Linked DNA regions of Alligator mississippiensis. The main gene of each other region encodes a partner of the protein of the gene in region 2 in a complex. Links are inferred from orthologs where the notes say so. Each region holds a gene or a part of one and is shown on either strand. Other genes may lie near its edges.

Region 1 (6,938 bases), on a different chromosome or scaffold from region 2:
TTGTAGCACTGACAATGTGTCCGGTGTTTCTGCTGCATGTGAATCGGAGGAGCTGAAAATATAATGTGACTCATGAGTGACCTCAGAAATCAGTGGGGTTCCACCTAGCGCCCAGCACAACTGTGGCCATCACAATTGTGCGCCTTGTGCGTTATGTGTGTACTTGGACTGGATTGTAATGGACATGAAGATTGAACTCCCCTTCTCAGGTCTTTTCAGAGTGGAGAACTTCGAGTGCAAAAGCTTATATGGTGCATGGGTGCAAAAATGTGTCTGTCCAGGGCCCTCTGGCCATCCCCAATATCTGTGTGTCACACTGGAAATCCAGACTGCACCCTGCCACCTCTGCTACACCCCAAGGGATGTAGGCCTGCTCAAGGAATCTTTTGCCAAAAGATTTTCTTTACACTTCCCACAGTGTTTCTCTGTCCCTTTGGAGCAGTCCTCACAGGGGTACCTCCCTCATGCCAACCCACCCCTGCCTGGAAATGTTTTAAAGAGAAAGGAGAAAAAAGCCTTTCCACATGAGCCATGTGTCCTGAGCAGCCCAGTGAATGGAGCCAAGTGGCTCTGCTGTATGCAACTGCTGCAAATCGCACAGCTAACAGTGCTAGCGTATTTAGTGAAGACAATACTCTGCCACATTCCCATTTTTTTTTTTTTTGATCTCTCAGAAAACTTTTCTGGGATTCAGCCTCTTAACAAGCAAGCTGTCCAGCTGGAAATGCATCTTGGAGGCTCAGAGGAGCTGAACAGAACTGGGGTCGCTCTGCCGCAAGCTGAATCTGCAAAGGGCGGAGAGAAGAGTGTTTTTCCCTGTTGTTCGCTACGCAATCCTAGCAGGCTTAAGGACCTGCAGAAGTCATTACCTTTTGCCTTCTTGTGTCTTAGCCCTAGGATTTAATACATAAGGCAGGCAAAAAAAAAGAGAGGAACCAATTAGTTCACAACATCCCGCCCTCTCAAGGTTGCTGTATTAACATAATAATTATGCCCTAGAGGCTGTGGAGAGAATGCAGTCTTCAAAAAATATACTGGAATTTAACGAGAGATTAATAGTGTAGTGGGTAGTCGTGCCCAGCGCACCATCTGCATGTCAGCCTTTAGAAAGCAACTGCGCTGAGCCATATGTAGGCATGCCTGCCACTACCCCTTCTCTGATGCTGGTCCATGGTTTCATGTTTAAAGACCCACCATCTGGAGGAGAAAAGCCTGCAGGACCCCTCTCCCAGCTGGCACCGAGTTGGTACATCAATACATTTTCCATTACTCTCACTTGAAGTCCTGTTGGATTTCGGTACTAACACTTCATAGTATGTAGAACTGATTTATTATAGTGGTGCCCAGCAGGGCTGCTGGAGCTCAGGTCCCTCAGCATTTGAGGTTATAAACCTTAATTTCCAAGGCTCTGTGATTTGGCTGCTTATAGCTCAGTCATCAAAGCAATTACCATGTCAATCCTCTGCTAGGATTTTACATTTTGAAAGTGTGACCTGTTGTGGGTTCAGGGCCAAAACAACAGCTGGTCCAGTCGTGTCTTGTCAAGGCGAGGAATGCTTCAAATATGTGGTGTTTGGTAGACAAGAAGCAATGGGGTCGTAGGTAAGGCGGCTCACAGCACCCTTAACTTACCCTGTTCTGCTCTGGAGTTGGTGCCTGGGTCTGAGGTCCCTGAAATGCCAGGGCAGAGGACAGGAGGGTATATGAAGGAAATGGGCCAGATTCATCTCTGTGTAACTGCTGATGGCTGCTGCCTCAGGGATGAATTTGGCTCAGCCTCAACCTTTTTCTGCCCTCAATAAAATTACCATTTCTGTGCAATGCGTCCAACTGGAACCTGCAAGGATGTGCATACAAAGCACAGTCCAGTCCAATGCTCCATCAAGCACGTGTTGGGAGGCTGCCAGAGCCTCAGCCCCACGGACCGAAGACCTTGCTTCATCCCTGAGCGGGTGCCTCTGGGATAGTGCATCTGAGGTCTGTCTTGCCACATCCTGCTAGCACACCTCGCCCCTGACCTGGCAGGCCTGCTTCCAAGGATGGCATAAGTGCCTGCGCTCTCTGCCAGTCCCGTTCTCAGCTCCTAGCTGGGGGCAGCCAACAGAGGTGCCAAGAATTTCTTTGGCTTTTGTCAGCTTGAGTCAGATCATTAATATTATCCTAAAATAGCTGTTTTTTTGCTGCCTCTGTAGTTAATCAGCCTCACGTGTAAATTCCTTTCCCTCCCTGAGACGAGTCCTTGCCATGTTTCCCCCCACCAAGTCTGGCTTTCTATGAACCCTGCCGGGCGGGCTAAGTGCACGAGAGGGGCTGTTCACTTTTACAGCAGGGCTGGATTTCCATGCTTTTATTCACATTGTGTGACACCTTTACGTCAGGTGTAGACGCCCTTCTTCATGGGGCCACCTGGGAAGTCCGGTATTACCAAGGCACAATTTGAATTGAGTTGGCAACCTCCAGACCAGAACAAGCTATCCAAACAGCAAGCGCCCCCCACCCTTGGCATGCAGCGGTATGAGAATCATCTCTGCCGTTGGAAGGAACTAATTGCTAGTTCCCTAGTCTGCTACAGGAGATGGTGGAAATACAATGATCATTTGGGATAATGATACTGAGACAATAAGCACACAACACTGGCAACATGCCTCTTCCCCCGTGATCCCAGCCTGCTGGCACCAGGACTGATGCAGGAGAGCCTCTGCGAGCTCTCTGCTGACGAGCGGCGCTCTAAGTATGAGTCTACATTGATTGTTCGTGGAACCACATCAGCACGCTTGGCCCCGCAGGCGCCTCTGCTCCCGTTTGCCTGGGAAACTGTTCAGCCTAGACGATGGAGGGCAAAGGGATTTCTCACACCTGCTCAGCACTTCACCAAACAGAGCAGGATGGTCTCAATGGCGCTGGAACCGGGGCAGATGAGTGAGGACGCAGCAGCGGCCGTACCTGTGTGGAGTGTGATCTACCAAGTCCAGCGCCCAACAGGCCTCAAGCTACGCACGTCCTGGCGCACTGAGCAAAGACGGTCCCATGCTCAGAACAGGTTCGGTAGGATTTGGAGAGGTCCCCTGGCCTGGTGTTGGTGCCCTTTGTGACTTCCCTACCCCAGACGGGTGTGGGGAGGGTAGTTAAAAACACAGCAAGGTGCCCATGATGGCTCCATGTGAGAGGGGAAGGCAGCAGTAATACATTTCCCTTAGCCATCTGCATAGCTGATTTATGAGTTTAATTGTCTGCAGAATCATATTTAAAAAGCACCGGTCTCAGGCTGGAGGTGCCCTGCATTGCAGGTAAGTTATCAACACACGTGCACAGAGACCCACAGGTCAATACATGCACACACACAAATAGACGTGCACACACAGTGCACAGGTAGGCTATCAACACCAGGCCAGCAATAAGCAGGGGGCAGGTCCAAGCCAGAAGGTCCTCCATCCACACAAACCCTCCTCCTCCTCCAAACCCTGCTCCTCCTCCTCATCCTCACCGCGTGCAGGGCTGGGGAACGAGGTGGGGCAGACCGCAGCGGCGCTCAGCCTTGCTCGATTTGTTGGACTCGAGGCCCCTGCATTAGGCGCGAGGCCACTCTTGGAAAATACCAGCTCCTCACTCGTTTTATTTGGGGTCAGGAAGGAATTGCCCCCCCAGGCAGAGGGGTGGGGGGGGTGCCTTCCTCCATAGCAGGGCTCTCCTGAGCGAGTGTTGACAAGGTTTTATAGCGGGCTCCCCTGCTTTACCCGTGGCGGGCTGAGCTGGGGGTGATGGTCCGGGATGGCTTGGCCTCTGGAGGTGCTCCCGGCCCCGCGTCTCCCCCACGCCGGCTCTGGGGGGAGCCGGAGGTGGGTTTTGTGTGTTGCCAAGACCCCAGAAAGGCCACGACAGCGCCGGAGGCTTTTAAGGCGGTGGGGAGAGCCCGCGTGGACCCGCCCCGCCCGGCGCGGCCCGGGGCGGCGGAGGCGGAGCTGGGGCCCGGGCTGGAGCCGCGGTGGAGCGCGGTGAGTGCGGGGCGGCGGCGGCGGCGGCGGCATCCCCGGCGGGCGCGGGGCAGAGGGCGGCGCGGCCCGGGCGGCTGCGGAGGAGCCTCCCCGCGGGCACCGCCCGGCCCCGGCCCGGCCCGGCCCGACCCTGCCCGCGTCCCGCCGCCCGGCCTGCGCGGCACCGACCCCACCCGACCCGAGCGGGGCGCGGCTGGGCGGGGCGGGGGTGCGCACGTGGATGTACGTGTCTTCGCGTGTGCACATGGGTGTCCGCGTGTGCGCCTGTGCGTGCACCCGCGTATCCCTGCGTGCACATGGATCTCGGTGCGCGCGCGCGAATGTGCAAGCGCGTGTGCGCGTGTATTCGTGTGTGCGTGCACGAATTGACCCGTGGGTCTCTAGGTGCACGCGTGTTGTGCGTTTGCACGCATAGGTGTGTGCACGTCTATTTGTGTGTGTGCGTGTGCATGTATTGACATGTGGGTCTCTATGTGCATGCGTGTATTTGTGTGTGCACGCGTGTAGTTGTGTGCTTGTGTGTCTGCATGTATGTATTTACCCACGGGTCTCTGTGTATGTGTGTGTATTCGTGTGTGCACATGTAGTTGTGCGTTTGTGTGTGCACATATGTGTGTATGCCTGTATTTGTGGGTGCATGCATGTATTTACCCATGGGTCTCTGTGTATGTGTGTGTATTTGTGCGTGCACATGTAGTTGTGCGTTTGTGTGTGCACATGTGTGTGTGTGCCTGTATTTGTGGGTGCATGCATGTATTTACCCACGGGTCTCTATGTGCATGTGTGTATTTGTGTGTGCACGCGTGTAGTGTGTTTGAATACACACATGTATGTGTGTCCATGTATATATTTGCCCATGGGTCTCTATGTGCATGTGTGTATTCATGTGTGCACATGTATTTCTGTGTGTGTGCGTGTAGTTGTGCAGTTGTGTGTATTCGTGAGTGTGCTTGTATTTACCTGTGGGTCTCTATGTGCATGCATGTATTCGTGTGCACACGTATTTCTGGACGTGCATGTGTGTGCACATATTTGTGTGCACACATATATTTGCATGTGTGTACATGTATTTATGTGCATGGATGTGCTTGTATTCATGTGCATGTATTGTGTCCATCTGTGTGTGTGTACTTGCGTGTGTGCGCATGTATGTACACGTATTTGTGTGCATGTCTGCTTATGTGTGGGTGTATCTGCATGCGTGTATGTGCATGTAGTGTGACTGCATGTTTTCGTGCATGTAGCTGTGCATGCGTGTACATGTATTTGTATGTATGCAAATGTGTGTGTGCATGCGTGTGTGCACACATGTTTGGCCGTGTGTGTGCACGCATGCGTGCACGTGCAGTGTCTGGCACACCCAGGCTTGAATGCGGGGTCAGGGGGTTCAGGACTCCTGTGATGTTCCAAGCAATGAACTAGGAGCAATTTGGGAGGCATCAAATAGGTGCACACGGTCCCTTTGGTGTAACACTGCTGTCACACAGCTCTTGTAACAGCTCTGGGCCTCTGTACTCAAGCTCCTTGGGGTGCTGTGACAAGGTTTCTTTGAATAATTGTGATATCTTTTATTAGACCAACTACATAGCTGGAAAAATTGTTCTTTGTGAGCTTTTGGGTGTTGTGCTTGTTTCTACCAGTGATTCTCAACCAGGAGGATGCAGCAGCCAGCAGTGCCTTGAGAGTCTTCAAAGTGTTTGCACCGTTAGGCGGGCAAACATGGTTCCCATGATAAACCCAGAGATTTCCAAGAGGACCCCATGTTGCCAAACCGTTCTGAGCTCTTGGGGCCTTTCTCGGGTCTTGGCAACCGAAAGAAAAAACTGCTTTTATTTTTCCGTAGTCAAAAAAAGGAGTGAAAAGTAAGAGCTGGCATTTTGCAAAGTGGGCCTCGCATCTAAGGAGGGGCGCCTTGAATCTGAAAAGGTTGAGAACCACTGGTTTACGCAGACCCAAAGGCAGGCAAACGAAGATGTCGATGTTTGCCACTGCAATGTTTTGGTCCAGCAATGTTTTGCCAGAATGATTTATCAGTTATATAACAATAATAATAAACTCCCCCTCCCAACAATGTCCTGAGTTTAAAGCAGAAACCACTGGAGATGCTTATTCAATTATGTTGGACTGCAAGGTGGCTATCCCACCTGTAACAGAGCGTATTTCTGTAGCTAATAGACTTGCTGTGACCAGTTAGGGAGAAGTCATTCTGTTTAACTCTCTCAAATAAATACCCAAGGAAACAAATGCCTGGTGCACAACCGATCTTACTGTACTCCAAGCCCACACGCTTCTGAGTTCTTCCAGTAATAAATAACGCAGAGCATGCTCCAGGCTTTGGCGCTGCTGGATTTGAAAAGACGCTGGCTTTTATTTAAGTGTGAACTTCCTCCCACCCTCCCGCTCTCACCCTCTTTGATCACAGAGGCAGTAGAATAATGAATATCGTTGAATGAATAATCATTTCCATGGCAGCGGCTTGCAATATGGTGAACAGAAGGTGTATAAACTCTGAGCACAGACTGAAAAAGCTAGTTCTGAAAACCCGGGACTTAATATCCTTTGTGGCATTGTGTGTCTATTGCTGTTGCCGTGTTGTAAGAGTACCCAAGATAGTTAGTGATTACACTGCAATATTGTACTGCAGTCGCTCGCTGCCTGGTTAACGGAGAGCTGCCTGGGACATGGACGTATACCCCAGGAGAGAAACGTAGCGGGTTTAGGAGCGAGGCTGCATTCAAAGGCTGGCCCAGTGCTGAATTTCCCCTTCAGGCACATTATTTGGATGCTTCGTTTGTGCACAGATCATTTGTTAGTGCTCACATTTAGCTAGATGGAACGGCTTTGCGCCTCCCCGCCCTTTTACCATTTCACACCAGCCTGCCCCAGAGACCTTTCCAGGGGGCTTGGAAATACCACTATGTTCCAGCAAATGCCACCGCCCTTTTT
Region 2 (6,997 bases):
AATCAGTCTCTGCTTGGTTAAGCCTGAGTAAGAAACTAAGGGGTTTTTTGGTTACCACGAGTCCATGGCAGTGGTGCTCAACCTTCCAGCCCCACAGGCTGGATAAGTATATTGAGCCAGTCCATGGACCAGATCCCATGAGCAGTTGGCATGCAGGCGTGATACTGCACCAGCACCAACCCCAAACACCAGATCAGCCACATGCTTGCCCAACCCTGACTGCTGAATCTAGCTGCAGAATGACTCCATGTGTAAGCCCCACTGCCAACTGGAGTGATCCAATGCAGAGGCATTCAATAAATCCGGCCCCCCTGCATCCTGTCATCTGGCCGGTGGGGCTCCCCGAGGGTCCCAGTCTCCACATGGGGAAGTGACGCCAGGACTGTGGCCTGATCCTGGCGTGCAGGGTGGATCTGGGCAGAGGCAGTGGGGCCCCCCCGAGCCCAACCTAGACAGAGGGAACCAAGGCGGGGCCCCAGGGCCCAATCCTGGCACAAGGGCCGGATCCTGGTGTGCAGAATAGAACTGGACAGAGGCTGTGCAGGCTCCCTGGAGCCCAATCTTCACATGAGGAAGCAATGTGGGGCCCTGAGCCTGGCACATGGGGTGGGGCGGAACAGCACCAGGGCCCTCACAGCCCAAGCTCCACTCAGGGAAGTGACAGGGGGCAACAGGGCCTGATCCTGGCTCCCCAGGTCTGCACCTCTGGCAGCAAGGGGCTGTCAGTTTACACTACTGCCACTCCCCTGCCCTGCCGCCAAGCATCCCAACCTGAACCTGGCCTGGAGCCTGCAGCATGCGACCCCAGTCTGCCTGCCCGCTCTCATCCCCCAACTACCGGGGCTTTGCCTTTGCTTCCCCAAGCCTGCGGGGATGCCTGCAATGCAGCAGCTCCGACCCCTTTTTCTTTGGGACAAGGCCAGCGCTTGGCTCTCTGCGCTTTTGGCGCCGGAAGAATACTAGGGGCGCTGCTGTGGGGCGCAGCGAGACGCACGGGACCGAGGGTCCCTATGGGGGCGCTAGGGGCGCAGCGACCGCACCGCGGGCAGGCGCCTACGCAGGGAGTCTCGGGTCGCCACAGCTCGCCCTAGCTTTTCACCCATCCACCCCCACCCACCGCCGCCACCGAGTTAGTGAGGCGGCCACAGGGCGCAGACACCCCCTGCTGGGGGCGGGCGTTCCACCCGCTAGCTCGCTCCCATTGGACGTGGGGCCGCACGCTGGGGCCCAGCCACGCCCCCACCCTGTCCATCATCGCGGAAGCCCCGCCCCTAGCCCCGTGTGCCCTTGGAGGGAACCTGAAGCCTCCTAGTCCCGCCCCCCTTTGCCTCTAGTTCCACCCGCGAGACCCCCTTCGCGCGCTCCCCTTCCCTCTCTCTCTGCTTCTCCTTCTCTTCAGCCTCCGGCCCCCTCACCTCTCCAGCTGCCGGGCACGGATTCACCCACCCCGCACTATCATGCTCTGCCATTGGTGGAACGCAAAGTAGCTCCACTCGCTCGACCAATCGCGACTATTCTGATTCGTCTAGCTCCTCCCCCGCCCCTCTCGGGCAGAATGTTAAGTCACTGCAGGGGAACGACTGGGAGGTCGCTTGATTTGGATGTGGAAGGAGAGGGGGATCAGAGGGAGCCCAGGCAGTACTTACCCCAGTGATTCTCAGCCCCGCATCTATGAGAGCCACTTGAGAGTCCCCCAGTCAAGAAACGTGAAACAGTTGGCATTTTCCGAAGGGTGCCTCATGGCTACCGAGGGGCACCTTGTGCCTGTGAAAGCTGAGACCCATTCCTAGAGTGTTTAGTGGCTTGAGAATAAGCACAGCTAGCTCGGGCCTTCCTGCACTGGAGTCTACGTGAGCAGACCCCGTGCACCTTGTGGACCATCTTGGGGCTCCAGAGAAATCAAGAATCAACCTAGGTGGAGTCAGCTGCGGGATAAGGGTCTTGCAAATTAACCTGTTACTTGAAATCCAGCCAACCTAAAGGAACAGTGAAATATGCTGACTGCTTTTGTTCAACTCTCATTTGATACAAGGTATTTGGTGGTAAGAGCAGAGTCAGCACCATGCCAAGACTCCTCATGAATGGTGACCTGATGAAGAATGTCTTGCATTCAAATGCTTGTGTACCTGTCCCAACTATCTAGTTGGTCCAATAAAAGATATCGCCCTAAGAAATCCTTGTCTCTTGCATAGTTTCTGGACCATCACAGCTACAAGGTCACTCTTGCACTACTGAAATTCCTACTCCGATACCTTTCTCTGCTTGATTAAATTACCTCAGCAGATGGATATGTGAAAATAAACCACATAATCACAGCAAAAAATACTTTCTTGCGTAAGGATATGATAGTGAGAACTGGGATCTAGATGGGAACTGTGTGCCAGATCAAGAGCTCTATCTAGTCTAGTGTCCAGTGGCCTATTGCTGACGTCTTTTCAATGTAAATCTTATCCCCTCCTACCTCTTAATGTAGCTGCCTGATCTTTGGGGTCTATGTCCAGTACCCAATTGCTGATGTTTTTAAAATACAAAACCTGTCCCCTCCCACTATTTAATGTAACTGCCTGTTTGTAGCACAGAACCCCAAAATAATTGGAGGCTTTACAGAACATGTGAAAGACACACCTACCTGGAAAGTTTACAATCTACGTGAATGATTCTCCACCAGGGTGCCATGGCACCCCGGGGCACCTGGAGAACTTTTCAGGGGTGCCACAGCATGCCACACAATGTTAGGTATGCAAACACAATTTACAAAATACAACTGGAGTTTTCAAATGGGAATTGATAGCGTTAAGGCCACCCTGCTCTGCTGCGGGCTTTCCAAGTTCTTTACCACAGAAGACTTGCTCTATTATTTTTCTCTAGTCAAAACACAAGTGTGTAATGTGAATGTAAGGCGTGTAGTAGCAAAAGGAACCTGGGGGTGGTCTGCAAAGCAGTGCTGACTGCTAAATTTGGACTACAACTCCCAGAAACCCCTAGGGGCTGAAGGAAAAAAAGGAAGAGGAAGCTTGAGGCTGGAAAGACGCGGGAGTGCATGTGGAGCCTGGTCAGCCCTGCACAGAAGAGTTCATTGGGAGAAGAGTGGATTGGGAGGCCTCACAGGCTTGGTCAGCCAGGAGTGTGGCCTAAAGAGCTGGACTCGGACTGGGGGGCAGCAGCAGGCTGCTGCTTGTGGTCTGCCAGAGAAATTATGGTGCCGAGTGTATGTTATCACAGTGTTGATGTTTCTTCATTTTTGACCTGTTCCCTCCCTTTGGCTTGTAACCCCAACCCCTCCAATTTTCTGTATTAAAAATGGCAGCTCCCCTTAGCTACTTGTGCCAGTTTCTGGGGCTGCAGGTAGTGTGGCCATCATAGAGGACAGTCTGGTTGTCCTCTGTCCTCTTGATATGAAACTGGATGCGTTTATGTCCTGTTTCTCTGGAAGAGAAACATAGAGGACATAAAGGTATTGGGTTTTGTATCAATAGAGGACAGAGTAGGGGAATGTCCTCTACGATGGCCACCCTAGCTGCAGAGTTGGCACAAGTAAAAGCTAAGAGCTGGCCTTTCCAGGGGGAAGTATCAGTCTGACATGGGGCACCTCAAGCCTAGCACGGTTGAGAACCACTGAGCTAGTTAAGCTGCAGTATGAAGTGCTGGAATTACTGAACCCTTTGAAGCTTCCCACTCCTGCTTCCTTCCGAGGCCCAGTTCCCTGCGCCTAAGCATGGGTGGCTGTAAGCATCCTTGACCCAGGACAATATTTAAGTCCCTCTTTGGACTCACGCCTGTGGTCGCCAAACACAAATAACTACAAGTCCCAGCACGCGCCGGCGGGCCCGGGACCGGCTAGGTTAGGCTGCCTTGACGCAGAGCCTGCTGGGAATTGTAGTCCCTTGCTCATCAACGGCTCCCTTCCCTTCCTCCGCGAAGACTGCACGTCCCAGCATGCCCGGCGCGGTGGCGTCCAATCGCTGCGCACTTTGTTGTGGGGGTGCGGCACCCACTAAGGCCCCGTTTCAAGATGGCGGACGACAGTGAGACAGCAGGGAAGCAGCCGCCGTCGCGGCCCCAGCGATCGTCCGGAGAGGAGAATGACCACGAGCACTGCAGCGATTGCGAGAACGAGGAGGATGACTACGGCCGCGGGTAAGCGGGAATCCGGGTCCATCGGGCCCCCGCGCAAAGAACCTCCCGAGCGCCCGGAGGCGGGCAGTGGCAGGGAAGTGAGTCTAGCTCCGCCTCGCGCGCGCCCTGATTGGCCGGGGAGTGGAATTTTACCCTTTGACAGGCTAAGCGCTGTGTCAGTCACGAGGGGGGGTGGCCTGTGGGCTCCCATTCACTCGGCTGCCTGCAGTAGCGTGTCCTGTGAGCTAAGCAGGGTCGGGCCGATGGGAAGGGAGACTTCCACGGGGCAGCTCTAGAAGCGACTACTTAGGGGTGCTGATAGGAGCTCTTCCTTCCTGCTTAGTCCTAAACCCACTGTCCCTGTTGAGATTAGGGACCAGGGTGGTGCCACTGCCCTGGTATTAAGGGTTGCTGGTATTGCTACAGTCCTGATGGTTGCTTGGATGTTGCCCCCCCCTTCCCCTGCCCCCTTAGCTGTGGTGTTTGGGGGTTCAGGGAGGGAGACCCCCCCCCCTTGTCCCTGGGCTGCTGTGCTGGGTTTGGTTGTCATCTGAAGCATAACCTGGGGTCCCCAATGCCCATAATCTTTGGCAATCCCATGAGATCTGTCACAGGAGTTAGTCAAGGTGTCCTGCCTAAATCCCAGCTGGGGCAAATCCATTCAGCTGCCTTAAAACCACCTACAGATTTGTTTGGAAGCTGTTCTTTGCTTGTGATCTGCTGCCATGTTTGCTGCCTCTGAGCAGCTGCAGTACCTTACAGTGGGGGCTGTATTTTGCAAGGGGGTTAGTGACTCTTGCCTGCGTGTCTCTATGTGGTTGGAAAGCACTCTGCCTGATCCTGGTGTGGCTCCTTCTGGCAGGCAGAAAGAGCCATGCAGAGACATATTTTGCCTGCCACTCTGCTCCTTGCATGCTGAAAGGTAGAGAAGAACAAAACCAAATGACAGATGCAACAAAACTGAAAACTCCTAAGCAATGAGGCGGCCAAAGGACTGGTTATGTAGCTTTATGTAGAATTGTGTTTGTCCACACCCAGGTCTAGAAACAAAGGAGGTGGTGGCCCCATATTCCCAAAAGGACTCCATTAGTAAGAGAATCCTCCTTGCTTGCATCAAAATTATTCCGAGGGGCTTTTCTTTTTACTGCAGAAAACTGAGAGGAGACTATGCAGCCCCATCATGGAGACTGTGACTCCTCATTGTCCTTTACTTGACAATACCGGCTTCTTCCTCTTCCTGCATTGCCCAATGTCCCTGTCAGGGGTCTGCATACTTAATAGTAATACTTCATCAAACTTTCCTGCCAGGGTTTGTTCTATTTTTCCCTCTGATCTTTGGGTCTTCCAGTGAGCCCCCATGTAAAAAAGACAAGTCTTGGAATCTTAATTCCTTAGAGTCTATTCAGACTGTAATAGGAGCAGTGGATAAGCACTGTGGCTATTAGCAGACTTTTAATATGGTTTCCCTGGTCAGGGTCATTAGAGATTTCTTTCTTGAGAAATGTGATGCTGAGCATTCCCTTGGGTCTAGTCCATGCATATAGGTCAGGGAAGCAATGCCTATTAACTACGTGTATAGTTGCCCATAACAGTTGTAGCTAGTGCGCTTCTAATTCTGTAGAAGGCAAGACCTCCTTTTACTGTTTCTGTTGAATCCATTTTATTCAATGAACTGTTTTCTCAGACATATTTGTTCTGCAGTACTCATCCTACCCAACCTTCCTTGGTTTTGGTATTTAAATAATTCAGCATGCAGGGAAGGCTGACCTAAGATACCATTGTTCTTATTTGCTGTTTTTTATTATGGGTTGATATGTGTAGTAGGGCAGATTTATTTTTCAACAGCTTTGCGGTGAAATGCAGTTTTAGTGTTACAGAAGTAAGAGGATCATGGCACCCCAGAAAAGGGCATCTCTTTTCTCCCATCCCCTTGTCACCCACACTAGAATACAGAGGACTTCAGTAGTGCAGATGGTATAAAGGGGAGGATTTTTGTCCCATTTAAGCCTGCTTTGCAGGCATTCTATTTTGCATTCTGGGGTGACAATCACATGTGCCACCACCTTTTTTCCCAGAAATTTGGGCAATGCAGGAAGAGGAAATTGCTAGTGCTATGCAATTTTTAGCTTCAGTTGGAAGTCTCTTCTCATTTTTTTTCTTTTTGTCCATGTCATTGGCCCCATTAGGTGGTTGGCCTCCTGTGAGATTTAGACTATAGCTAAAGAGCAGTCTCTGTCAGCAGCATTTATTAGGCAATATTTCTCCTCAGAAAATCCAAGCTTAATAACAGGCCACTTAAAAATATTACAGAAGCTTTCTTACACAAATACAGACACACTTTTAAATTTCAGTTGCCTCCTGGGTGCGGCATTGCATCTCAAATTAATAGGGGTAATGCTGTTATAGGCTTGAGAAGCTTTTCTTTGCTTTTCCTTTCTGTTCTTCTCAAGTGATATGGTATGTGAAACAAGTGATAAGCAGTGTGTAAATCACCACAGTTGGCTGTGTTTTTCAGTTATACTTCTAAGTCCAACTGGATTTTAAACTCCTTCACTAGGGCTGGCGGGGGGTGGGGAGTGTGCCTTTAATCACTGTTGGTGTCCTAGCAGGGGCAAGGCAAGTTTGGGTTCTAATACCTGCCTGAACCTTAGCACATGGTGACTGTATCTTTTTAATAGTTTACACTGAGGTTAGGACACACATTGTATCAAACCAACAGGTGTTCAACATTTGTATCTTGACAAGAATATTGGGAGTGCCCAGCCCAGCCCAGCCCAGCCTAGGTTTTAAAAGAGTTCTAAGCTCAGTTTGTGTGGGAACCAGAGTTAGAAATCAAGGCCAGTGGATCTAGTCATAGTGAATACAAGCCTTAAAGGCTCCC
Region 3 (6,960 bases), on a different chromosome or scaffold from region 2:
GAAATATATGGAGACATAGGAATGCATTTGCTTTGCTTGCAGTAGCAATGGGTTCAATTCCTATCTAATCTCTTACAGAAATAGTAAAAATTCTTTTACCTTCACATCAGGATTTATAGTTCTTCTCACATGCCAATGCAGGCAGACTAAACATTGACCAGGGTGGTTCAGGGTGAAGTTTCCTGGTTTGTGGTCAGATGGTAAGAAGTCCAACTCATAGGTAGTCTCTTGCAGACATAGTGAAAAATATATTTTAGTATTTCTATAAATTTTTCATTAAACTACAAGGATTTGGGAAAGGAGGGGGGCAGAGAATAAATCCCTATATGAGGGGGAAAGAAGTCCTGTATATCACGGAGGAGTGATAAAATGCATGCAAGACAGAATTGAAAGAGGGGAAATATATAGAAAAGACTATGAAAATGGGTTTTATTTAGAGGGTTCAAAGACAACTCGTAAGGCTTTCTTTTTTGCAAGGTTCTTAACACTGTCCCATGACATTCTCATTAATAAGTTAAGAAAATAGAGATTAGACTCAAGCACTATAAGGGTGGTAAGTACTATAAGGTTTTCCTTGCTTTTTGTGGGTTCTGTATGTGCGAATTTGCTTTTATGTGATGACCCTTTTTATACCAAAGATTCATTATATGCGAGGTAAATTCGCTCTTATGCGATTGGTGTGGTGGAAGCCTGCAGTCAGCAGCTTTGTGCAGTGCATTGTGGGAGTGATCTGCACCAAAATATACTCTCCTGTGTGGATCTGTGCTCCTCGCTTGTTGTCTGGGACACGTGTTTCTATAGTTGCCATCCGCATTAGAAAGTGCATACAAACACAGGGCACTATCATACTGTTGGTGAGTACCAACATTGTCTTGTAAAAGTGGCAGAAATGGGTCTGGCGGTCAGTACAGTTGAGGTCTTGGAACATAGCCCTATTTGTTACATTGTAAAGTGGGTTCCCTTTATGCAAATTTGAGTTATGCACTGTTTTCAAGGAATGCGTGTACAGCATAAAGCGAGGGAAACCTGTAACTCTGGGGTTTTCAACCTTTTTTTTTTAAGGAGTGTGCCCCTTCTGGTAGGTACCCCTCCTGGACAAGCAGGGGGAGGGGCGAGGGAGTCCCCCACTGGCAAGTTGATGGGGGGGGGGGGGTCCCCCAGTGGCCAGTTGAGGAGTGAGGGTGAGGTGGGGGTCCTCCAGCAGCCGTTTGAGGAGGAGGGTTCTGGCTCTGCACCGCCACCCTTGCAGCAGGTGTTGCTGCTGTGTGCCACTGCCTGGTGCTGCCATGTGGCAGGCAGCAGTGGTGCATGGCATCAGGTGCACAATGGCGCATTTCCCACATACCCCTGCTTCTCTGCGCCACCACTGTGTACTCCCTGGGACCTTCCCAAGTACTCCCAGGGGTATGCGTACCCCTGGTTTACAACCCCTGCTGTAATTAGTTGGATCTTTTTGATCAACGAGCACTCAATGGCTCAAAGTCGTTGGGGGGATGTATCAGGCGAGGCCCCAGGGATCTACCCTAAATCTAGTATTGTTCAACATCTTCATTAATGATTTGGATGATGGGATTAAGTGCATGCTTAGCAAATTTGCAGTTTAGGAAATCTGTGAATGACATCAGGCTAGGTAGAGTTGCAGACACTCTGGAGGGCAGGACTAGGAGCCAGAATTACCTGAATAGATGGGAAAAATGGTCTGCAATCAGTCAGATGAATTTCAGCCATGAAAAGTGCAAAGTCCTGCACTTGGGACAGAAAAATTGCATGCACATCTATAAACTGGCTAGGTTGCAGTACTGCAGAAAAGGACCTGGGGGTTACAGTAAGAGAATATGAGCCAACAGTGCTTTTGTTGCAAAAAAGGCCAACATTGTACTGGAGTTTATTAACAGGAATGTCACTTGCAAGTTGAGGGAAGCAATTCTTTTGTTCTGTTCAGTGCTGTTGAGGCTTCAGAGTCCTGTGTCAAGTTTTGGGTCCCATGTTTCAAGAGAAATGTAGACTGATTGAAAAGAGTTCAGCTCAGAACAACAAAAAATGATTAGAGGCCTTGGAAGCAGGACTTGGGAGGAAAGGCTGAAAGAGCCTTTAGTCTGGAGAAAAGGCCAAGGCGGGGTTTGATAATAGTCTTTAAATACCTGAAAGGTGATTATAGAGAGGATGGAAATGGGTTTTTCTTTGTGGCTGTAGAGGACAGGACTAGGAACAATGGGTACCTGTACATGTTCTGGGAGGCTGCTCTGATGCACTATAATTACAACATGTCAAAGCAGACTAGGTTAATCAAGTCTACTGGAGCGTTCTAATTAGCGCATTCTAGCTAGCCACCACATCTCAGGCATCAGTGTCCCTGCATTTCAAACTGGCGGCGGGGGCGATTTAGCTAAAACTCGTTCGATAAAGCACCCCGCCGCCATTTTGAAGGGCAGAGATGCTGACACATGAGATGCTCCAGGTGCTTTAATTAGAGCAACTCTTGGAGCCGCTCTAAATAAAGAAGGCCCCCACCCCATTCCCTGAACACACATAAAAATGTCCAGTGGCCTCAAGCTATAGCAGAAGAAATTTAGGTTGAAGATTAGGAAGAATGTTATGATTATGAAGGTGGTCAAGCATTGGAGCATGCTACCTAGAGAAATTGTGGCATCTCCATCCTTGGAAATTTTCAAGAGCAAGTTGGACAGCACTCGGCTGGGATGGCTTAGTCCTGCCTTTGAGCAGAGGGCTGGACTAAATCACCTTGTGAGGCCCTTTTCAGCCATACTTTCCAACAATCCTATAAACAGGGGGAAATAAAAATATAAGGGATTGCACTCCACGTGAATTGTATACATGGTCTATATGGTATCCCTTGGGCTCCCCTACATTCCAAATGAATGGTATAGAAAGCCAGTGCACACTCTTGGACCCCACATGAATGGTATATCATATCGCCTGCTGCCCTGCAACCCTGAAAAAATGGTATACCACATTTCATAGTTTCATAGTTGGTAGGGTTGGAAGGGACCTGAGCAGATCATCAAGTCCGACCCCCTGCCATGGGCAGGAAAGAGTACTGGGATCAAATGACCCCAGCTATGTGATTATCTAGCCTCCTTTTGAAGACCCCCCCCCCGGGCAGAAGCGAGCACCACTTCCCTTGGAAGTTGGTTCCAGATCCTAGCCGCCCTGACTGAAGTAGTGCCTCCTGATGTCTAGCCTGAACCTACTCTCAATTAACTTGTGGCCATTATTCCTAATTACTCCAGGTAGTGCTTGGGGGGAACAGGGCCTCTCCCATTCCCCGCTGGTTTCCCCCCAGTAAGTTTATAGATGGCCACCAGATCTCCTCTCAGCCTTGTCTTGTGGAGGCTGAACAGGTTCAGGTCCCATAGCCTCTCCTCGTAGGGCCTGCCCTGCTGCCCCCTGACCATGCGAGTGGCCCTCCTCTGGACCCTCTCAATGCTGGCCACATCCCTCCTGAAGTGTGGCGCCCAGAACTGGATGCAGTACTCCAACTGCAGCCTGACCAGTGTCGCATTACTCTACTCTATATGAATTGCATATGATTCTTTCTGCTCCTAGTGAGTGAAACACCGTATCACTGCACTGTCTTGGATCCTGTATGAATGGTATGCCACACTCCCTCCCAATAGCCCACACAAATAGTATCCCATACCAACAGTACCTATGAAAGCCATAAATGGTAAGCAGACCTATTGCAGCCCCATATCTAAATGAATGTACAGCACCCCACATGAATGGTGCACTGTGCCCTCTCTATGCTTGTACCCCATGTGAATTGTCTATCTTGCACTGTAGACCACTGCAGCTCAGATATAAATGAAATTCCATTCCCATAGCACCCCTTTCATTTTGCATGAATGATTTCACACTCCCTGCATCTCTCTAGTACTTCTCAGTAATAAAAAATGCAATAAAGCAACTCATTCGCAGAAAAGGACGTTGCACATGGCAAACAAGTATGTGACAGCACTGAAGCAGTTAAGAGACATTCAATGGCATTCTTAACTCTGACATCACAGCCAAAAGGCCTTCTGTCACCCTCAGGGACTTACGCAGCGAAGTCTTTAGAAATGTGCATGAAGTTCTTCAATAATCAAGAGCGTCTATAAAGGTAAGGGCTGCAGCAGCAGCATGGGTAACTCAAGGGAAACGGGCGGGGGAGGAATGGGGGAAATTCTTGTCTTGCTGCTTTTCTGAGCTACTTTATCAATACTGCGTGCAGCCCAAGAAAACTGGCTGTACTCCCTGCTGCAAACCTAGGATGAGCTGCATTACACACTTACCAGCTCGTTTCTGGTCTTTTCTAAATACTGCCCTGGAATACAATGCAAATGCCTGCAAAGTACAGCATCTTGCTGCTTGGAAGGACTCAGAGTCTCTCTTATCACCCTCTGCTTTAGGCTAAGGGTGATTTCAGTCTTTCTCTTTAGGTAAGCAGTCACTTTGGATCATGCATTTTTTGTTTTATGAGCAGCAAATGAATAAGTTTCTATTTGTACAAAAGCAAACAAGACTGTTTTTCTCACATTTTGGTGATTTATAGCTTATACAGTATAGATATGTTGATTTTTTTTAAATTTTTTTTTTTTTTGTACTGCTTATATTGCTTTGGTAGCATAATTTTGGGTATATGAATAATAGACTGTCTGTAACATCATCCTACTTAATATTTTCTCAAATTTAAAATTTAAAGCCTAAGAAAGGAATGCAAGCTCACTCTGTCTCATCTAATTTAACACTGAGACTGCAGTTCTCATGCTGCAAAGGGCTTTATTATTGCCAGCACAGATTTCAGAATGAGCAGCACAAAATGGCAATATTGGATTTCAGCCTGATGTGCTAGAGATGTTTTCCGTTCAGCTTCAGTTTGTCCCCAATTCAAAACCTCATTAACATGATAAATAAATGGTGAATCAGTTTGTCTCCAATAAACAAATAAATGTGGAAATCTGGTCAGTTTTTTCTAGGTGCCTGACCATGAATTGAGACTGCAGTTTTCAAATGTAGGAGCTGGGCACAAAGTTCCCAGTGACTTTCAGTGGGATTTTGGTTCCTATTTCTTTGTGTGTCTAAAAATTCTAGCTGTAGGAGCCCAAAATTTTGACCTAACTTCTGCAAATGGGCCCAAAACAGAGTTCCAGGTGGGAATATTCTTCTGCGTTTTAAATCTAAATATCATGGGTGTGTGCTAATAAGAAGTTTGATCCTGGGTTGAACTAGATGAGTTCTTGAGGTCCCTTCCAGCCTTACTTCTATGATAACAAGCCTTGCTGGGCTTTATCTCAAGTTCTGAACTAATCTTGCATGACAGTGATCAGTTACTTTAAACTGTCTAACCTGAGAGATGAGAATAATCTCATTTGCCAATGTGAGAAGGATGGACACTATTTAAATAGTATTGGCAAAACAGTTTGTGTCCCTTTCTAACATACATACATGAATACAGTATACATGTTCATTCCGTATGCCTTCCAGTTCTAACTGACTTCCCTGTTATTCAGTGTTGGTATGACCCAGAATTATTACCCTGTTTTTTTTTGTTTGGTGTTTTTTGTTTGTTTGTTTGTTTTTTAAATACCTGATTTAAAATGCAGCTAGGGCTACAGAAATCACATTGCCATCAAATGGAATATGACTTAAATATGTTAAATTCATCTGTTACATGAGCCTGCAGACTCAGTAACAGAAATATCCTTTTCCTGTGCAATAATGAAATTCTAAATTTTAGAGAGCAAGATGATGATTTAAAAATAATGAATATCTCAAAGTTACAATTCAATTCTCACTATTTTGTTTGTTGCAAAGTGCTTCAGTTCTACACTGTGCAGTCTGGCACTCATGAAACTTGTCAGTGGTTCCTTGTTTATTGATGCGCCTTTGAGATTAATAATTAAACAGATCAATGTCAATTTCAAAACTTTTAATAACTTGCAAAGAACATATTAAACCTGTGGCATTGAAAACCCTGCTGAATGAGCCTTTATACTCTCCAGGTTAAACTGCTCAAGTAACAGTTAAAACAATCCCAGCTAACTGCTATCTTTAAAAGAATTCCTGGTGATTCTTAAAACCTTCTGGACACATTATATGGAAGCAGCTTAGTAACTAAATATTAGACACAAGCAGAAACTTAGTGGCTGATATGGTGCTTCGAGATGCACCTTATTCAAACCTTAACAGCAAGGAAATCATGGGTTTGAGAAGTCTCCTGCATTTCATGATGATTCTCATCACTTCATCACAACACACTTCAATGTTTTTGCTTCCATTTCCAGTGGCACCAAAAATTATAGCCTGTTGGCAAGCACAGCCATTTATCACGTCTGTTAGTGACTCACAGATCTACTTCTATTCTGAACTCCTCTCCAAACTTAAATCTTAGTTTCTCTTTGATATCCCCTCTTGAACATCCAAGCATCAGGCTGCAGTCTTGAACATGGGAACTTGGCTTGTCACCCCATGAATAGCCCACCCAGGCTGGTCAAAGCCAGTGTGAAGCCTCTAGTAGGACCTAACCCGCAGACTGCTCCCTGTTGTTGGAGTGGTTGGCTAGGGTGAGCTGACACTCTATTTCCCACATATAAACCCCCTGACACAGAGCAGGAAGTGTCTGGGCAGTAGGGCAACCTGGCTCAGGACTGCTTGTGTATGTCCCCTGGCTTTCTGCTTATCTTCGTTCTCTGTCTGATCTTCCAGCTTCTTGACTCAGTCCATTCCTGGATTTAGTTCTCTGTCTGATCTCTTAGCTTCTTGACTCGGTGTGTCCCCGGACTTTGCTCCTGGATTGGCTTCCTGACCTGGTTAGACTTTGAATTCTACTTATCTATGAAAATCCGAGTCAGTGTCTTGATCTGCAAGTGATCCCACATCTGTTCACCCACATCATGACATGACACAAGGCCAGAACAGAGCTCCTAGTCCTCCTCTCTTGTTCCTTTCTTGATCACTGAG
Region 4 (7,895 bases), on a different chromosome or scaffold from region 2:
TCTGCAAATCCCCCCCTGGTCTAGCAGCCTCGGCCGTGATCCCTCTGGCATCCCCGAGCTCCCAGCAGTGACGATACCAGCCCTGCTGGGCCGCCGCAAGCCCAACGGTCTCCCCATGGGACACGGCGTTGGCGCTTTACTTCCCAGGAGCTGGCTCCAGGATCCGCACCCATGGCTCCCCCAGGCACAGCTACATTTGCTGTAAACAGGTGTCACCCTGCCATCGTGGGAACCGGAGCCTGCCAGGCACACCGCCCATATGCCAACAGCAGCAGGGTGGGTGTCCGCACATCTCCTGTCTGCACCAGAGCCAGGCAGAAGGGGCTGGGAGGGACAATGCCCTCACCCTTGCCCTCCGGTAATCTGGTCAGCTCGCCATCCAGCCGGCTAATCTCCATTAAATTCAGATCCACAATCTGCTCTCTGCAGCCCCACCAGGCAGGGAGCAATGAGCTGTACCCAGAGGAGGGAAGGAGGGGGGAACAGAGAACTGCCTGCAGGGAACCAGGGAGCCTCTCTATTATGTGCCTGCCCTTATTCAAAAGCTGCCTGCAAACCTCTCCTGCCGCAGTGCTGGGGGGAGGGAATCTGCTCCTGCTTCTAGCCTGCAGCCCCCTCCCTCAGCAAGGCAAGCAGCTCTTGGTACTCTCTCAGCCCAGAGCAGCCTCTCCTGCCAAGAGGGGCACACGCAGGCAGCCTGCCTCCACCCGGGACAAGAGAAACACGGCTCAGGCAAGAGGCCAACCCACAGACCCTCCCTGGCTGCCCTGTCCCTAGCCCCGTCACTGCAGGATGGGGTGTGGGGATGGGGCTCCATCCCCAGAGGGTGTTTCACATTTACTCTGCACAGGGGCAAGGCACTGAGCAGGAGGCAAAGCAGGAGAAAAGCAGGACCTTCGATGTGGGGGAGCAAGGGCCTGTGCTACTGCAGGGGCTCCCAGGCCACAGGTTGTCTGTGATGCCAAGGTTGGGGGGCCACAGAGTGCACCATCTCCCCAGCCTTTCATGATGAAAGGGTGATGGTTGGGTGCATGCTGGCTGGGGCCCTGAGAGGTGGGGAGCTGCTGGAGGACCTCTATTGATGGCCCGCAGAGCAGCATACAGCAGGGACCTGGCTGGTGGGATCCCCCAGCCTCACCCCACTGCAGCCACGAAGGGAAGGCATCCCACATCTGGACTGGGCCCTTACAGAGGGCAATACCGCCTCACCCAGTGCAGGGAACTCCACAGACACCTGACACCGAGGAACCCCCGTGGTACCTGCACGATCTCCAGCATCTCCTCCCGGCTGATGTAGCCATTGCCGTCCAGGTCATACATGCTGAAGGCCCACATGAGCTTCTGCTCCAGCTTGCCCCGCGAGGTGACACTCAGGGCGATTATGAACTCTCGGAAGTCGATGGTGCCATCCCCATTGGTGTCGAAGGTGCGGAAGACGTGCTCGGCGAATTTGGAGGCGTCGCCGTAGGGGAAGAAGTTAGCGTAGATCTTCTTGAACTCCTCCACATTGAGGATCCCGGTGGGACAGTCCTTGAGGAAGCCCTTGTACCACTCCTGCAGCTCCAGGTCCGAGAACTCCGTGTTCTCCCGCAGGTCCTGCAGCATCTCCGGGCGCAGCTTGCTGTTCTGCTTCCCCATGGTCACGCCCGAGCCTGGGTCTGGGGCCTAGGAGCGAAAAGAGGTGAGAAAGGCATGCGCCGGGTCACCCCTTCTGCCCACCAGGTGCAAGCATCTCTCAGGGACTGGGTTACGCAGGTGGCCATCAGCTGGTCTAATGGTCCCTGCCTGCCATAAAGCCTACGAATTGCCCTTTGTGACTTCATGGAAAGTATCACAGACTTTCCTAGGTTGGCCCCATCACCTAGGAAATGCTGCCCCCATTAGAGCTGACCGGCATCTCTGTGGGTGTGCTGCACCTGACACCCTGGGGTGCTAATACACAACCAGGGTTCCCAGGTGCTCTGGTTGTGCACCAATAAGCAGGCCAAGCTTGCACACCTCAAGGCACCTGAGCCAGCCTGAGGCAGGACTCTTCCTCCCACCTCCCCACCACCCTCACAGCCACCTCAGGCTAGCAGGAAGAATGGAGGCCATGTCCAACTACACCATCCCAGGGATGCAGCTCATTGCCTTCCCACGTGGTCAGGCTGCCAGTCTGCCCATGGCATGCTGACCCCTCACACAGCAGGCCTGGTCCACTCAGCCAGGCACCCTTGCACAGGGACTGAGCCTAAGGAGGGCAGGGTGCAGGTATGAAATGGGGGGCAGCAGGGCGGGGGGGTCTTTCCCTGCCTATTCGCAGCTCACCCCACTGAGGGCACTGCTCTTGCTGGGCCTGGTTCTGGGGCTGCGGGCAGGCTGGCATCACTGCACCCCAATCCCCCCCTCACTACCCAGTACTCACTCTCACAGCTCCCCTGAGAGCTCCCCCAAGCCACCTCCTTTGTTGTGGGCTCACCTGGGGCCGTGCTAACAGGGCAGGGGCTGCCTTCCCTAGTGAAGGTCCTGCCAAGGCCCCAGAAGCACAGAACAGGTTGCGGGGCAGGCAATCAGGGGCTGCCCAAGCCCTGGTTTCTCCAACAGAGCTGCAGACACACCACAGACAGCCTGGCTTGGCTGTGGCCACTGGCTCCCTGTGCTCCAAAGCAGCAAGCTCAACCCCTCCTGCTCCAGGCCAGGCCAGGCAGATGGGAATAGCATGTCTGGCTCGGGACCCCATGCCAGTGCTGACCACAGCACGTGGCAGGGAGCTGCTCCAAGCCAGCTGGACGTTAGAGCCCCACTGAGCCCACGCTAGAGACCCGTGCACACAGATGAGTCAGCGCAGTTACACTTCCAGCTGACACCGTGAAGCCAGTTCCTGAGCCGTCACCAGCACACAGACAGGCAACCACCCCGTGTCCCTTCTATGGCTCATCTGCCTAAGGCCTTGATGATCCCTGCCCCGGGCACAGCTCCCGAGCACCCTTCTCCAGCCACGCGCACACGTATGCACCATTCCTTGGGCAGCCAAAGGGAGGCCTGCTGGGGTGGCTGCCATTTACAGCCCACTAATGGGCCAGCAGCTGGAGAGCTTCCCTGCAGCAATCCCTGGGCAGCTCTGCTCCTCATTTGCATAAGTAATTGCCAGCTCATTAGGCACAGAGCTGCATCCATGCCTAATGAGGAAGAGGGGCATCAGGTGTAGAGAGCTGTGGGGGCTGCAGCAGGCGGGGAGCAGGTAGGCAGCCCGTCTACAGGGATTCCCGAGTCATTGCTCCAGTGCACTAGGATGCCCCAAAGCCCTGGGATAGACTGGCCCTGCTCAGGGCAGAGATGCCGTACTAGGGGATGCCTGCCAGCCCCAGAGCAGGGGCCAGCTGGGCCCGAGACCTCCCGGAGGAGGGGGCCCATGAAAGCTCTTCCCCTTGTTCACCCCAACATTGAGCCTATACATCTCCCCCCTACTCCCTATTACAGCCTGTGCCCAGCCCCACCTGCTCCCCCATCACTCCCTCTGTCCTGTCACTGGCCCCCCTGTAAATCTCCCCCCACCCCTCTATTACTCAGCTCCTTTGTGCTCCCCAGCTCCCATTCTCCCTGTCCCTGGTTCATCTAATAGCAGAGCCCTGCCCTGTAGACAGCAGCTACCAGGCACAGCCCAGAAGAGAGGAGCCATGTCATTACAGCCCACCCAGGGCTGGGCTAATGGCACTGGCAGGGCTGGCCAGGGCCATGCAGGGCGCAGGTGCTGCTTGTTGTCTGGTGAATGATGCCCAGGCTGGTGAGACTGAAATGCATCTGGGTCCATGGCATCTTGTTACCCTTGCACTCAGCTCCCTGCCTTCGAGGTGCAGGGAGAAGCCATCCTGAGCTGCCCAGGCCCTAGCACAAGTCCCAGCACCAGCCCCTGGTGGCGCTGCGACTTTGGGGGACATGGAGCAGTACAGCCTGGCAGGATGACTGGGGGGGGGGGGGGGCTTCAGGTGGCTGGTAGGAAACAGGCTGCAAAACCAGGAGGGAGACTCGAGCAGGAACCACCGCAGAGCGGCACGAATCAGCTGGGAGGAAGGTAGCTTTTAGGATCCAGCAGCAAGGCAGAGATCCTTTGCTTTCAGGGAAGCAGCAGCTTTTCCATACACATCCGCTGCCCCCCTTCAGCGTGCTCCCAGCAGCAATGGGCACCCAGCACCCCACACGCACGGCTATGCCAGGGGCACGTCCCCTGGCTGCAGGCTTATCCCCCCACAGACAGCCAGGCTGGTCTCCCAGGGGAAGTTTTCTTCCCAGTGCCGTGCCACTACAGCTTGCAGTCACCACAGGGTCTGATGTGGCACCAGTCAGACGCTGCTCTGACTGGCAACTGTACGTGCAGGGGCCGGCCGGGCTGGGCTGGGCTGCAGACAGGGTCATAAAATGCAGCAGTCCTGGCATGGAGTGTGCTTCTCTGAGCCTTGCAAGTGTATGGGCAGCTCTGTTCACCGGAGCGAGCACCACAAACAGGCAGAACCTGTGAGAGGAGGAGGAGGAGGAAGGTGGCTGGGCAAGATGCATCCTAGAACTAGGGAGTTTCTTTCCCCTCCCCTCACTTTTTTCCATTGCACTTGACACTCTTGGGTGCTATGTCTGGCTGCAGGAGCGAGACAGGCCCCTCCACAGGACCTGCATGCCAGCAGGGTCAGCTCTGCACTGCCTAGCTCCCCCCAGCCCCATGGCACTACTCCAGGGGACCCATTCAGGCTCTCTAAGATGCCAGGTACCTCCAGCTGGGTTAGTTCAATTAGGATGTAATGAAAGCAGAGGCTGGAGCCATTTGCTACTTAGGCACCGCAGCAGGAGACTTGAATCTCCATGTGTTCAGCCTACTGGAGAGCCCTGAGATGCACCTACAAGAGGTAACTGATTTGCCAGGGAGCCTGAGCTGGGATGCAGCAGCAGAGAAGAGGCGTGTGATCCTGTCCAGGAGGGTTGTAGGAGGGAGCAGGACCAAAATCTGCAGCTCAGGCCTCAGACATGGGTCTCTCGCCACGTGCTCCTTGGGTTCAAGCCTTTGCAAAGCAAAAGAACTGTGGAATGACCCCGAAGCAAGCCTCAAGGAGAGACTGGGTCCAGCCACCGAGGAGGGGGGAGCTCACTGCAGCAGGAGCTCAGAGCTGGAGCGTGGATACACCTCACTCAGAAGCTGTATCGGGGCCACCTAAGAGAAACCAGCACTGCTGCTCATCTGCACACCGTGTTATCACAGCAGCCCCATGTTTCTGCCCTCTCCCGATTGCCTCCCCACCCCCTCCCTCCCATCAGCGAAGGACAATTTCACGTCACTGCACACCACCAGTAACTGCAGAGATGCATCATCCTAGAGCATGAGGCAGACAGGACCAGTCCTCACACTCGCGGGAGCCAGTGTGGGATGCTCTTGGCCGCTTGTCTGAGAGGGAAGTGCCCCCGGGACATTCAGGAGGTGGCAGATCTGTAGCCAGGAACACGCAGGGAGAAAGAGAATTTCAAAGGCAGTTTCCAGATGTGCCCAGTGCTGGCTTGCGGCCTGGGCAGGGACTGGAGCAGTGGCTCAATAGGCCGTTTCACAGCTATCTCAGCACAGACTTTGTACCAGAAATAAAACAGAAGCCTTGGAAACACATCCTCCGTTGGAACGAGCTGCGAGGAGTGGAGGACAGGGAACGGCAAGGTCCGTGGGAGAGAACACCCCATTTTTAATGCACAGCAACTTCCCTATTCATCCCCTGAGCAGGTGAGACTGTAGGCATGACCCATCGCAGCCCTCCCCAGCCACAGCTTCCCAACAGCTAAGTACGACAGGTTTTAAGCAGGTGGTGGCTGCCTGTTCCTTGGAGAGCAGCACTAGCCAGCGGGCACGTCAGGCTAGAAAGGCACACTTGACCCAAGTGTGCTGGGGAGAGAGGAGTGCCAGGAACAGCATCTGATGTAGGGATGCAGAAGTGGAGAGCCCTGAGCCTGGTGGGCTCTGAGCGATGCACACAGACAGGCCACAATCCCTAGGGCAGCCAGGTTCAACCACAACCTTCCAGTTCGTGGGGGACCAGCAAGGATGGGCTTTGGTCCTCAGTGCACCAGCTTGCTATATCCCCCCGTGACCTGCCTGGTGAAAGCAGCCCAACATGCTCACACGCACAAGCCCCTGCTCCCAAGGAGCAACATGTGCTAATTAGCCTTCTGCTTGGGGCTAGGATGCCGAGAGGTTAAGTGACCTCCTCAAGGTGACAAAGCCCGTCTACGGCAGAGGCGGGGACAGAGCCAGGCTCCCAGCCCCATCCCTGGGTCCCCCGTGCTCAAGATTTCACCCTGGAGTTTCTCTCAGCCCACTTGTCACTTGCTGGAAGATCCAAACACCAGCGCCAGGAGCTGCCCCGGAGGCCTGGGTTCTCAGCCTTGTGCCCCAATGCTGTAGTGGGCAAGCCAACCCCTGAGCTCAGCATGGGCTCCAATGGGGCCGTTGCTCAGATGTCCATGCTGGAGACATGCGGTTAGTTGATGGCCCCACTACTCCTGACCAGCTGCCAGTGAGTAGCACGCTGATGGTGCCAAGAAGTGTAAGGATTTGTCCCATGTAATTGGGAGCGATTCCTCCAGTGTCCTTTTCCAGCCTGCTTTGCAACGTCCTGATTGGGTTTGTCTTTCCAGCTGGCTCCGCACGTAGCCAGAGGCTCTCACTACGCCATCCGCAGCGACACCACGCCTGCTCCCCTGCCCCATGGCCTGGTTCACTGAGAACGCAGCAAGGTGCGATGTCAGCTCACGTTCTTTCTGAAGTGCGTTTGCCAACCATTAATCCCATCTCCCCGATGGTGCCTGTAGATGACATTGCCGACTTCTCAAGGTCCCATTCTCCGGCAGGATCACGGCATGCTCGCACGTCGCGATGTCAGCAGTGAGACGAGCTGCCCTCCACTCTACTTGTTTATAGGATCGGGGGAGGCAGTTTCTCCCTAACATTTGCTCAGCCTTTGAGTGCTGGAGCTACTGCAAATGCCTGATTTCTCAGTGCAGAACAAAAGCATCCCCACTGCATCCCCACTCCCCTGCCACAGAAATGCCCTGCCCGGGTGGCTCCCTCGACACCTACAGTGGTGACATGTGCCTCGTTCACATTGCTGCAACCCTGCCTGGCACTGCTGGAGGAAGTTCCCTGCACACAGCCCCCACCTCCTGGCCTCAGAGAACCACTGGCTGACTTAGGCCAGAGTCGGGGTGGATGGGCATTAACGGCCCATCTGTCTGCAGAGGCCTAGCCTGAGCCCTGCCTGGAAAGCAAGTACTGGCGGCAAAAGCTTCAGAACTGGGTCAGCTGCCTTTTGAGAGGTTTATTTTCAGCTCTGCGCGCCGGAGCCGCGTAGGCCGGGACGGTAGCGCCTGGCGGAGCCAACGCCTTCGCCTGCCTACTCTCCATTAATATTTAACTGGCTCTTGACAGCAATCATCCTGGTGTCCCAACAACACCCGCCAGGGCCAGGGCTGGGGAGGGGGGGGCGTGGGTCAGTGGCTGCTTGAGGGAGGGCAGGCCACAAAACCCCACAGCTCTGCTATGGAGAGGAAGGGCAGTGGAGGCGTGCGGAGGGCACGGTGCAGGGGTCCAGAGGGAAAACGCAGTCACAGCAAACAACCACTTCACTGCTCACGAAGGGCAGCCAGGAGCCAGGCCCCAGGAAGGCTTGGAGCAAAGCAAGCACCAGGGAAGGACAGAAGGAGACCAGATCCCTGCCCTGTTTGCCTGTGACACCAGCCTGCAAGCTTTCCTAATGTCCGTGAGCCTAGAGGCCCTCTGGATTACACAGCTGGCAGGGGCACAGGTGCCAGGACCATGTGGCCCTGAAGCTGACACCTGTCACACAGGCAGCCTGGTCCCCGCTCAGGGGCTCTGGCTGGAAGAGCCTGGC

What was found.
Region 1: the proteins of NMT1 (region 2) and NCS1 are in contact, whole or in part, in a crystal structure (PDB 5O9S), measured with the Homo sapiens proteins. The link is inferred for Alligator mississippiensis from reciprocal best matches to the Homo sapiens genes NMT1 and NCS1. Residues at the interface, in NP_066565.1 of Homo sapiens: Tyr180, Val181, Glu182, Asp183, Asp184, Asp185, Met187, Phe188, Arg189, Phe190, Tyr192, Asn246, Thr282, Ala283, Gly284, Arg295, Tyr296, His298, Ser300, Lys310, Phe311, Ser312, Tyr401, Leu403, Ser405, Tyr420, Gly468, Ile469, Gly470, Asp471; in NP_055101.2 of Homo sapiens: Gly2, Lys3, Ser4, Asn5, Ser6, Lys7, Leu8, Lys9.
Region 3: the proteins of NMT1 (region 2) and AIFM3 are in contact, whole or in part, in a crystal structure (PDB 6SJZ), measured with the Homo sapiens proteins. The link is inferred for Alligator mississippiensis from reciprocal best matches to the Homo sapiens genes NMT1 and AIFM3. Residues at the interface, in NP_066565.1 of Homo sapiens: Tyr180, Val181, Glu182, Asp183, Asp184, Asp185, Phe188, Arg189, Phe190, Asn246, Thr282, Ala283, Gly284, Tyr296, His298, Phe311, Tyr401, Ser405, Ile469, Gly470, Asp471, Asn473, Leu474, Leu495, Gln496; in NP_001373743.1 of Homo sapiens: Gly2, Cys4, Phe5, Ser6, Lys7, Pro8.
Region 4: the proteins of NMT1 (region 2) and HPCA are in contact, whole or in part, in a crystal structure (PDB 7OWM), measured with the Homo sapiens proteins. The link is inferred for Alligator mississippiensis from reciprocal best matches to the Homo sapiens genes NMT1 and HPCA. Residues at the interface, in NP_066565.1 of Homo sapiens: Tyr180, Val181, Glu182, Asp183, Asp184, Asp185, Met187, Phe188, Arg189, Phe190, Tyr192, Ile245, Asn246, Phe247, Thr282, Ala283, Gly284, Tyr296, His298, Ser300, Lys310, Phe311, Ser312, His313, Tyr401, Leu403, Ser405, Tyr420, Gly468, Ile469; in NP_002134.2 of Homo sapiens: Gly2, Lys3, Gln4, Asn5, Ser6, Lys7, Leu8, Arg9.

Annotation. Positions count from the first base shown.
Region 1 is NC_081835.1:58,961,491-58,968,428, forward strand, and holds the start of NCS1 (neuronal calcium sensor 1), read left to right. Parts: upstream 1-3,921; 5' UTR 3,922-3,992; intron 3,993-6,938. UniProt on the Homo sapiens protein: Neuronal calcium sensor, regulator of G protein-coupled receptor phosphorylation in a calcium dependent manner. Directly regulates GRK1 (RHOK), but not GRK2 to GRK5. Can substitute for calmodulin. Stimulates PI4KB kinase activity.
Region 2 is NC_081827.1:161,560,231-161,567,227, reverse strand, and holds the start of NMT1 (glycylpeptide N-tetradecanoyltransferase 1), read left to right. Parts: upstream 1-3,985; 5' UTR 3,986-4,012; coding exon 4,013-4,137; intron 4,138-6,997.
Region 3 is NC_081833.1:33,547,822-33,554,781, forward strand, and holds the start of AIFM3 (apoptosis-inducing factor 3), read left to right. Parts: upstream 1-3,947; 5' UTR 3,948-4,120; intron 4,121-6,960. UniProt on the Homo sapiens protein: Induces apoptosis through a caspase dependent pathway. Reduces mitochondrial membrane potential.
Region 4 is NC_081829.1:5,211,166-5,219,060, forward strand, and holds the start of HPCA (neuron-specific calcium-binding protein hippocalcin), read right to left. Parts: upstream 3,004-7,895; 5' UTR 2,720-3,003; coding exon 2,459-2,719; intron 1,666-2,458; coding exon 1,261-1,665; intron 1-1,260. UniProt on the Homo sapiens protein: Calcium-binding protein that may play a role in the regulation of voltage-dependent calcium channels. May also play a role in cyclic-nucleotide-mediated signaling through the regulation of adenylate and guanylate cyclases.